3 linked regions of the Sus scrofa genome follow. The protein of the gene in region 2 interacts with the protein of the main gene of each other region in a pairwise test. Links are inferred from orthologs where the notes say so. Each region holds a gene or a part of one and is shown on either strand. Other genes may lie near its edges.

The links. The genes of interacting proteins can lie anywhere in the genome.
Region 1: the proteins of ASNA1 (region 2) and ASPH interact in binary tests that used the Homo sapiens proteins (3 or more experiments, as listed by UniProt). The two-hybrid records come from large-scale screens. The link is inferred for Sus scrofa from reciprocal best matches to the Homo sapiens genes GET3 and ASPH.
Region 3: the proteins of ASNA1 (region 2) and GPX7 interact in binary tests that used the Homo sapiens proteins (3 or more experiments, as listed by UniProt). The two-hybrid records come from large-scale screens. The link is inferred for Sus scrofa from reciprocal best matches to the Homo sapiens genes GET3 and GPX7.

Annotation. Positions count from the first base shown.
Region 1 is NC_010446.5:72,101,878-72,104,726, reverse strand, and holds part of ASPH (aspartyl/asparaginyl beta-hydroxylase), read right to left. Parts: intron 858-2,849; coding exon 707-857; 3' UTR 1-706.
Region 2 is NC_010444.4:66,258,324-66,262,426, forward strand, and holds the start of ASNA1 (ATPase ASNA1), read right to left. Parts: upstream 2,813-4,103; 5' UTR 2,623-2,812; coding exon 2,462-2,622; intron 1,624-2,461; coding exon 1,476-1,623; intron 1-1,475.
Region 3 is NC_010448.4:159,592,866-159,595,781, forward strand, and holds part of GPX7 (glutathione peroxidase 7), read right to left. Parts: intron 943-2,916; coding exon 681-942; intron 1-680. UniProt on the Homo sapiens protein: It protects esophageal epithelia from hydrogen peroxide-induced oxidative stress. It suppresses acidic bile acid-induced reactive oxygen species (ROS) and protects against oxidative DNA damage and double-strand breaks.

The sequences.
Region 1 (2,849 bases), on a different chromosome or scaffold from region 2:
CTCTTAGAAAGAAATACCATTTTGACAGTATTTCCACAATTCACATGGCGAGGAGAGAAATTAAGACACCGGCTCTCAATGAAGACAAAAGAGTAAATCGACCCAATGGGTAGGGAGCAGTCCAGTTCATAGACACTGGCGTGATTACTTCCTTCTCCTTTGTATTAGGAAAGTAGAATTTTCTTTTTTCAAATGAGTGCCTTTTACTAAAAATAACTAAAAGATGGAAATCTGAGTTCACCAGGGAAGCTACAGCTAGAAGTCAAGCATTTATACAGCCTGTCACTAAAATGAACAAAAACAGTCGTGGTATGTGATGACAAAATGGTCTAGCGACCCTCGAAAAATATAACTGTAGAGAAAAATGGCAAACTAAAGCAATTATTCACAATCTCTACACATATTCTCATTTATGTTGATTTTGCCTACTTTCAGTGGAAAAAAATATCTTTGGCTGGCAAGGTAGAAGCATCATGTGTTCACCTGGAATACGGGCATCAGATTAGGGCTGTCCTGGGTGAAAACCGGCAGGTCTTTTCTAAAAGAACTACAGCAAGGCGAATATTCCCTTTAGCATCTTCCGATCCCAGAGGAGGTTTAGAAATTTTTCAGGCTGCAAGTCAAGGGAATTAAGGGCTATGGTGTTTGAAGGTCTATGTCCACATCAAGGAGTCGGAACCTCTCCAGCGTGTCCGAGACGGCACGACTAAATTGCAGGAAGGCTGAGTCTCTGCTGGGGTGTCAGCTCCGGGTGCCACACATCCACGATGAAAATCAGCCGGAAAGACTTGGCGTCCTGCCACACCTCGTGCTCAAAGGAGTCGTCGAAGATGAGCACCTTGCCTTCTTCCCAGGTCCTGGCACAGAAAAGCATGGGAGCTTATGATTCAGATGCCTGAGGTCTGACCCACATCTAAGTTCAAGCAGGCATTCTCAAGATAACCTTTGCCATATGGCCAGGTAAGTGGAACAGCAAGCAAGGATGTGTACTTTCCTAGGTGATTAGGAAAGAATTTTAGGGAGTTCCCATTACGGCTTAGCGAGTAAAGAAGACGATTTAGACTAGCACCCAAGAGGATGCGGGTTCGATCCCTGACTTCACTCCATGGGTTAAGGATCTGGTATTGCTGTAGAGGACAGCTGCAGCTCGGATTTGACCCCTAGCCTGGGTACCTCCATATGCCACAGGTGCATATGGAAGAGAGAAAGAGAGAAAGAAAGGAAGGAAGAAAAAAAGAAAGAAAAAGAAAAAGAAGGAAGGAAAGAGAGAGAGAGAGAGAAAGAAAGAAAGAAAGAAAGAAAGAAAGAAAGAAAGAAAGAAAGAAAGAAAGAAAGAAAGAAAGAAAGAAAGGAAGGAAGGAAGGAAGGAAGGAAGGAAGGAATTATTTCAGGATCCCTACCATGAATATCGATTTTTAGTACTTAACTCTGAAGGAGTACAAAGAACAGGGGGCTGATGCAGGGGAAACATTTTTGGTACAAACCCAGGCAAGGTTTGTTTAGCTGGGCAAGCACCCAATGGCTCATTCCCAAGGTGCCCTCCCAGAAAATGACTCCATGGTGTCCTCAGTGGCATTTCAGAGACTGGTGTAGCCCTACCCACAACAACTGAGTCTCAGACATCTCTCTGTCCTGTAGGATGCCTGGCATGGTGTGTGTGCATCTCCAAATGATTCTCTTTTCAACTTGTTCCATTTGTTAAAGTTTCATTTATGGAAGGGAAGATTGTTTATATTTCTAATGTTATCTGCTATGAAAAGGGTTATCCATCGAACATTTCTTTCTTTCTTTTTACAGCCGCACCTGCAGTTTATGGAAGTTCCTGAGCTAGGGGTCAAATCAGAGCTGCAGCTGCCGGCCTACGTCATAGCCACTGCAACGCCAGATCCAGATCCGGCCTGCATCTGTGACCCATGCGGCAGCTTATGGCAACACTGGATCCTTAATCCACTAAGTGAGGCCAGGGTTCGAACCCGCATCCTCGCGGATACTATGTCAGGTTCTTAACCTGCTGAGCCACAACTCCTCCATGGAATATTTTAAATGAATACTGTGAAACATCTTTTAAGGCTTACAGTATTACTTCATAAGATATCTAAATATGGTATTAGTCTAAATAAAGCAGTCAAGAGAGAAATATAGAAGAGGCAACCATACATTCAGTGCCTTTCAAACCCTAAAAAAGTTGATTAATTATGCTAATATTCTCTTCTTTTTCAAATAGGTATTAACTGCCAATATATTAAATGCTAGGCTATGCTTTTAAAATAAAAGTTTTACTAGGAAATTTTCTCTAGATGTTAACATTTTCTCAAATATTTAAAATTTTACTTCCTGGATTAGCTAACAATTAAAACTATAGGAGGAAAAATGCTAGCTTGATATCATTTTGTTGCATGATCATAAGGAAGTGTTCCTTAGGGAAATGATTTGTCTTTTTATGTTCATTACTGGGTGATTAATCAATATTAAATTAAGTAATATTACATATTGCAGCATTTTTCAACTGACGTTTTTGCCAGATAATTCTCTGTTGTGGGGGCCGTGCAGTGTTTTGTGAGGCGTCTAGCAGCATCTCTGGACCCCACCCACTGGGTGCTAGTAGCGCTCTGCTACCTGTTGTGACGATCAAAAATGTCCCCAGTCATTGCCAAATGTCCTGGGCAGTGAGCTAGGAGACAGTTTCATCCCAGACATGTAAATGACTGACAATAAAATGTGCAAATTATTTATAGTAACTAGTAGAGTAACAAACAGATGCAAGTTCAAAGTTCCTTGGAGTTGGGAACCAATCCTCTTACTTCTGGTCCCCGTTCCCTCCCTCCCCCACGCACCTCGTGTGCTCTCTC
Region 2 (4,103 bases):
CCTGTGTCCTCATGGTTACTAGTTAGATTTGTTTCTGCTGAGCCACGATGGGAGCTCCCCATTTTTTTTTTTTTTAAATGGCCTCACCTGTGGCATATGGAAATTCTTAGGTCAGGGACGGAATCTGAGCAGCAGCAGTGAACTAAGTTATAGCTACGGCAATGCCAGATCTTTAACCCACTACACTGAGCCGGGGTTGAACCTACACCTTCCCATCAAACCAAGCTGATACAGTCAGATTCTTTTTTTTTTTTTTTTTTTTTGCTTTTTAGGGCTGCACCCATGGCATATGGAGGATATGCCTTATGTACCCTAGTTGGGTTCGTTAACTGTTAACCGCTGAGCCATGAAGGGAATTCCCTGCAGTTAGATTCTTTTTTATGTGTGTGCTTTTTAGGGCCACACTTGCAACATATGGAAGTTCCCAGACTAGGGATCAAATCGGAGCTACAGCTGCCAGCCTACACCACAGCCACAGCAACACAGGATCAAAGTCACTTCTGTGACCTACACCACAGCTCATGGCAATGCCGGATCCTTAACCCACTAAGCGAGGCCAGGGATTAAACCTGCACCCTCATGGATCCTAGTTGGGTTTGCTAACCGCTGAGCTGTGAAGATAACTCCCCACAGTCAGATTCTTTTTTTTTTTTGGTGCTTTTTAGGGCCGTACTTACAGCATATGGAAGTTTCCAGGCTAGGGGTCGAATCAGAGCTGCAGTTGCTGGCCTATATCACAGCCACAGCAACACCAGATCTTTAACCCATTGAATGAGGCCACATTCTCCTGGATACTAGTCGGGTTCATAACTTGCTGAGACACAATGGGTATTCTGTTTCCATTCTTTTTTTTTTTTTTTTTTTTGTCTTTTTGTCTTTTTAGGGCCACACCCGCAGCATATTGCGGTTCCCAGGCTAGGGGTCTAATCAGAGCTACAGCTGCTGGCCTATGCCAGAGCCACAGCAATGCCAGATCTGAGCCACATCTGTGACCTACATCACAGTTCACAGCAACACCAAATCCTTAACCCACTGAGCGAGGCCAGGGATCAAACTTACATCTTCATGGATACTAGTTGGATTCTTAATCTGCAATGGGAACTCCCTACAAGGAACTTTTTGAAAAACTAATTTGGCATTGACATTACTCTGCTTAAAACAAAGAGCTTCCCATTAAACTTGGAATCAAAGCTGACCTGTTTCCAGGGGCCTACAAGGTCCATGTAGCCCTCACTGATGTCTCTCTCCTGACTCCTTACTCATTAAGCTCCAGTCACTCTGGTCTCCCTTTGCACCAGAAGCATTCCTCAGTCATTCCCCTATGGGTATGTTGAGGGGGTGAAAGTGGAGAGACAGAGGATGGAGAATGGGTGGACATGGTAACTGCTGATGGATGTTGTTCACAAGGGAAAAGCCTGAAGGTGCCTTTGCCAGAGTTGGGACAGAGCGTTAGGACTGAATCCTGGTACACTTACCATGGCGAAGAGGTTGTCATAGCCTTTGACCTTGGTAGGCACCTTGGAGAACTTCTGGTCAAATGCATCAGAGATGTTGTGGGCTGGGTCTGTAGAGATGATCAGAACACTCTCCCGCCCTTTGGAGAGCTGGACTGCTAGGCTGCAGCTGGGCAAGGGAAAGGCCAAAAGGTATGGATTGAAGAATCAGCCTCTGCTTTCCCTAGGTCTGCAAGAGGACATGAAGGGGCCCAGGAGCAGGGGACCTGGATCAGCAAGGACCTTGAGAGGAGAGTATGGATAACTGTGGGAGCAAGCCTCAATCCTTGTAGAGGGACCTTCTCAGACATCTCTCACAGACCCCTCTAGCTGGTTAGAGTAGCAAGGTTCTAATGAATGTCGGTCTGGCCTGATGCTTACTTCTTTACTAGCAAAGTGGCATGTCCAGCTGTCTAGCCAGTATAGCTCGACTCTCTGCCCCTTTCGACAACGCTAAGCTAAGGGATCCTTCGCGTCTTCGGCTAAACTCTATGGTTCAACTCACTTTTCCCAGGTACTCTATCCGAGGGACCCCTCTCCCTCCTCCCAGATGACTGGGATAGCCTGATCATATGCCCTCTCCCAGCCTTCCACCTCCACTCCCACGTTGGCATATAATGGCAAGGTTCACCAGACTAGTGGGTTCACCTGGTGCCCCTCGCCCTACCCTGAGGTCAATCTGGTACAGTCCAGCTGACTGAGACATCTAAGTGCGCTCCGGGCCCCCAGTGCGCTGGATCAAATGTGGTTCAGCCCTTGAACTCCAGCAGATTGTACGATTCAGAAGATGCGGACCTACATTCAGGAGGTATCTTCCACTTACTCCACGTAATTTCCGGAGAGTACAACCCTGAAGACCCCGGGCCAGCCTTCTAGCCATGTTGGTTGTGGAAGACCGGCCCATAGCCTCCCCTTTAACCGGTGGTACATCCCACCCGTTTTCTCGGCCCCCGCCGCAGCCTCCTTACCTGCAGGTGGTCTTGCCAACGCCACCCTTGCCCCCAACGAAGATCCACTTAAGGCTACGCTGCTCGATGATGTTGCTAAGCGTGGGCTCCAGCGGCTCCACATCAGGGGCATCCTCGAACTCCTCTGCCTCAACCCCCCACCCGGCCACCCCTGCCGCCATCTTGGACCCGGCTCACGTGATCAAGCGGAGCGAACTATGCAAAGCACCTACAGGGGAAATTTCCTATCATATCCCGTCACGGCTAGAAGCGTGAATTAATTTTCTCATGATCTGACTTTTAGGTGATAATAGAAGCTATATTTCCATATTATCCCCTTCCAAGGTTCACCTTGTCAACCTCTTGTCTATATTTTTTCAAAGACTCCCCCTGCCTAATTAACATATTGGTACCTTCCAGGTCACTCCCCTTCACTGATTGGGCCCTACGTCTTGCCACACTCCTTCCATTGGCTTCATCTTTTCTTATTTTCACCAATCACTCTCACGTCCCTGTAGCGGCCGACCTCCCCTTAGCAACCAGCCAAACACACGGTCCATGCCCTTTCCAAGAAGTTTGATCCGAGGTCCATTCCTACCTGACTCCATAGGCTCAACTTCATGTCGATCATTTCCCCCTATTTTCCAAATCTGGTCCCAACACCGCCTCAGGTCTGTCTCTTCTGTTACCTAACTGGCAACTGGCTGGGAGCCATTGAGCTCCTGACGCGAACCAATCATAGACGAACCGATTAGCTATCTTGAGATAGGTCCTCGGGGTGCCAGTGGTTAGAGGCAGAACAACTCCAGTTATGGGCGAAAGCCACAGATCCTTGTCCATTGAGCCCTGAGCCCCACGCAGGGCAGGGCCAACATTTGCAACCTCGCTCTTTGTCGTAGAAGGGGTCTGTTCTCGAAAACCTCCTTCCACTTTGCTCCCTATTCGAGGGGAGTCTGCAGTTCAGCCAATTATCTTTTTGAACCTCTGCCCCAGGAATACATGCTCGGTTCCAGGCCGTTGGAGGACACTCTACCTTAGATAGGGACTGCAGTCTAGAAATATCCGCGGCTTCACCTAAGTACTCTAGCGCATACAATAATACCCTGACTTTCAGATGAGGACCCCAGTTCCTTCGAGCAAGCGGTGTCTCTATTCCCAAATGAAAGCTCCATTTCAGAAGACAGGTACCCAACCCAGAGACGCCTCCATTTCTATTCTGGGGGCCCAGACTAGATGTACCCCCGAGATCTAGTTAGGGACCCAGGTTCCGAAGATTCAGCTGAACACACAGCCTCAGATGAAGTCCTTCCCCACGTTGAGATTTTCTCTGGTGCCAGAAAAGCGAATATGCCCCCAAGTCCCAGGCGGGAACCTCACTCCGAGAGCCAGCTATCGCCGTAGGCTTAGACGATAGCCTTATTTCGGGGGAGACCATGTCTGCGTAACGCTCGCGGAAGTTTAGTTGGGTTACTATAATCCGCTAGGCAGGGCGATGTATCTGTCTGCTGGTGCGCGGCTTCAAGCTTTACTCCTCTTTCGCCCCGCCCCGCGTGCCCCGCCCCCACTGCGGACGCTAGAGGACTAGACGGGTCTTCCCAGCATGCATTGCTCGGGACGAGGCAAGTCGGGCGCCAAGCGCGGGGTCGGAGCGGCCTTCCCGGAG
Region 3 (2,916 bases), on a different chromosome or scaffold from region 2:
AAAAAAAGATCTGGTGGAGTTCCTGTTTTGGCTCAGTGAGTTAAGAACCCAACCAGTATCCATGAGGACGCAGATTCAATCCATAGGGCTTGCTCAGTGGGTTAAGCATCTGGGTGTTGCCATGAGCTGCAGGCATAGGTCACAGATGAGGCTCGGATTGGGCATTGCTTGTGGCTGTGGGTAGGCTGGCAGCTGCAGCTCCAATTCGCCCCCTAGACGGAGAGCTTCATATGCTGCAGGTGTGGCCCTAAAAAGAAAAAAGATCTGGTATCCTGGCTCAGAAGGTTTACCTCCTGTGGCTTGTAGATGTTGCCTCTGACTTGGGACAGGTGATACCTGCCAGTCTTCTCCAGGCATGTGGTGTCCCCTGTCTGCAGCTAAGTCCACAAACTCAACCCCTCCATTTTGCCTAAAATCTGAGGGCCCAGTCTCCTTCTAGGAGCTCCCCCAGAGGGAAAGGAGAGCCCAGAGAAGTCTACTAGAGTGACTCTGAGGGAGAACCGCGAGGCAGCAGGGGTGGCGATGTTCTTAGGCGGCCCATCCTCGAAGATGAGCATGAGAACAGACCATCGACCCACGTGCGGGGTCTGGACGGGGCCCCGGGTCACCCAGCCAGCCAGAAGCTTCCACCGCCCAGGGAGCCCAGGCCTCAGCCAGCAGAGGGAAGGCTCGGGACTCACGGGTCAGGTACTTGAAGGCAGGGTGGGCCCCTGTGCCTGTGACTGCGATCTTGCTGAACATGGGGAAAGAGACACTGTAGGTGCGACGGGCGAAGCTCTCGATCTCCTTGTTGCTGTCGGGCTCCTGCTGACCAAACTGGTTGCAGGGGAAGGCGAGCACGTTGAAGTGGTGGGGCCCCAGGTCCCTCTGCAGCTGCTGCAGGGCGCGGTAGTGCTGGTCTGTGAAGCCACACTCGCTAGCCACATTCACCACAAGGGACACCTGGGTGACAGAGACAAAACCCAGACACATACACAACCCCGGGAAGAGGCATGCCCTTGTACGTGTCCTGACAAGCCCACATGTGTGACTCCCCACAACAGTTAAGAACGCAATGGACACACATGCAAACGTGTGTACAATGCTCTCACATCCACACGAACACATGCGCACAGGCACAAATGAAGTCAGGTGTGCAGGGGCTTATGAGACTCATGAGAATAAGCACATGATACACATCAGGGGTTATGCCTCTGCCCCATGATTCAGAGACACATTAGCACACATCACACATGCCCACAAACACAGAACACAAGCACAGAGAGAGGCACACATACTGATGCGCTCACATCAGGAGGTGACACAAGAGAGGGAAACGGCAGGCCTGGGTTCAAGTGCTGGCTCAGTCAACTAGCACTTGTCATTCGACACCCAAGTTGCCTATATGCGTGTGGCTTTCCCTTCTGGGATGAGCGCAGGAGCTGTGTCCACTTCACTGCTAGGTCTGACATATGGAAAAGTCTTAGACAGTCATGTGCCGAATGAGTGAGTGAGTGTCCACGAGTATGTGATCACCTGACTGGGTACATAGACAGACATGGGGTTTTGTTGTTGTTGTTTGTCTTTTTAGGGCCACACCCGGGGCACATGGAAGTTCCCGGGCTAGGCATTAAATGGGAACTGGCCTACACCACAGCCACAGCAACACCAGATCTGAGCCGAGTCTGCAACCTACACCACAACTCAGAGCAACGCTGGATCCTTCACCCACTGAGCAAGGCCAGGGATCGAACCTGCGTCCTCATGGATACCAGTCGTGTTCATTACTGCTGGGCCATGACAGGAGCTCCTATTCTTGTTAATACTGGATGTTTTTGTGTGTGTGCATGTGTTCATTACAACTTCCTCAGGATACTAGCTGGGTTCGTTACTGCTGAGCCACAGCAGGAACTCCCTGACGTGGTTTTCTTTTCTTGTTTTTTGGGGGTTTTTCTTTTTTGGCCATGCCCACAGCAATGGGAAGCTCCCAAACCCAAGCCACAGACCAAACCACAGCAGTGACAACACCGAGTCCTTAAGCACTAGGCCACCAGGGAACTCCCAGAAATGGTTTTCTTGATAAAGGGATCCCAAGAACCTCAGGGCAATCCTTTTTTTTTTTTTTGTCTTTTTTTGCTATTTCTTTGGGCCGCTCCCGCGGCATATGGAGGTTCCCAGGCTAGGGGTCGAATTGGAGCTGTAGCCACTGGCCTATGCTAGAGCCACAGCAACGCAGGATCCGAGCCGCGTCTGCAAACTACACCACAGCTCACAGCAACGCTGGATCGTTAACCCACTGAGCAAGGGCAGGGACCGAACCCGCAACCTCATGGTTCCTAGTCGGATTCGTTAACCACTGCGCCACGACGGGAACTCCAGGGCAATCCTTTTTTGCCCTTCACTCTCCAGGAAACAATACCATTCTCTTCTACCACTAGACTCACTCTTAAATTATTATTGCTTTATAATGAATGTATTTATTGCCTTTAGGTGATAAATATAAAGCTGGCTGATGGAACTCTATTATATTACTGCAATTACAGTTTTGGCACCAATGCTATGATTAGAGCTTCTAGTTACATATTATTAAAGGATTTAAAATCTTACCTGTGTCTGGGCAGCCCAGCCGTATCTCGCTGGCCACTTTTTTAGAAGAGGCGGGATTATACTGGCTGGCTCCATAAAGAGGGCCACCTCCAAGGGGCAGCCTGGGGCACTGGACATGCACAGCCACCAACTTCTCAACCTCAGCGCTATTGGCATTTGGGGCTGAGCAATTCTTTGTTGTGAGGTGGCTATCCCGTTCATTGTAGAATATTCAGCAGCATCCCTGGCCTCTACCCACTAGATGCCTAGTCTTAACAATCAAAAATGTCTCAGGGGATATTTTGTCAGGTGGCCCCTGGGGAGAAAGATCACAGCTAGCTGGGAACCACT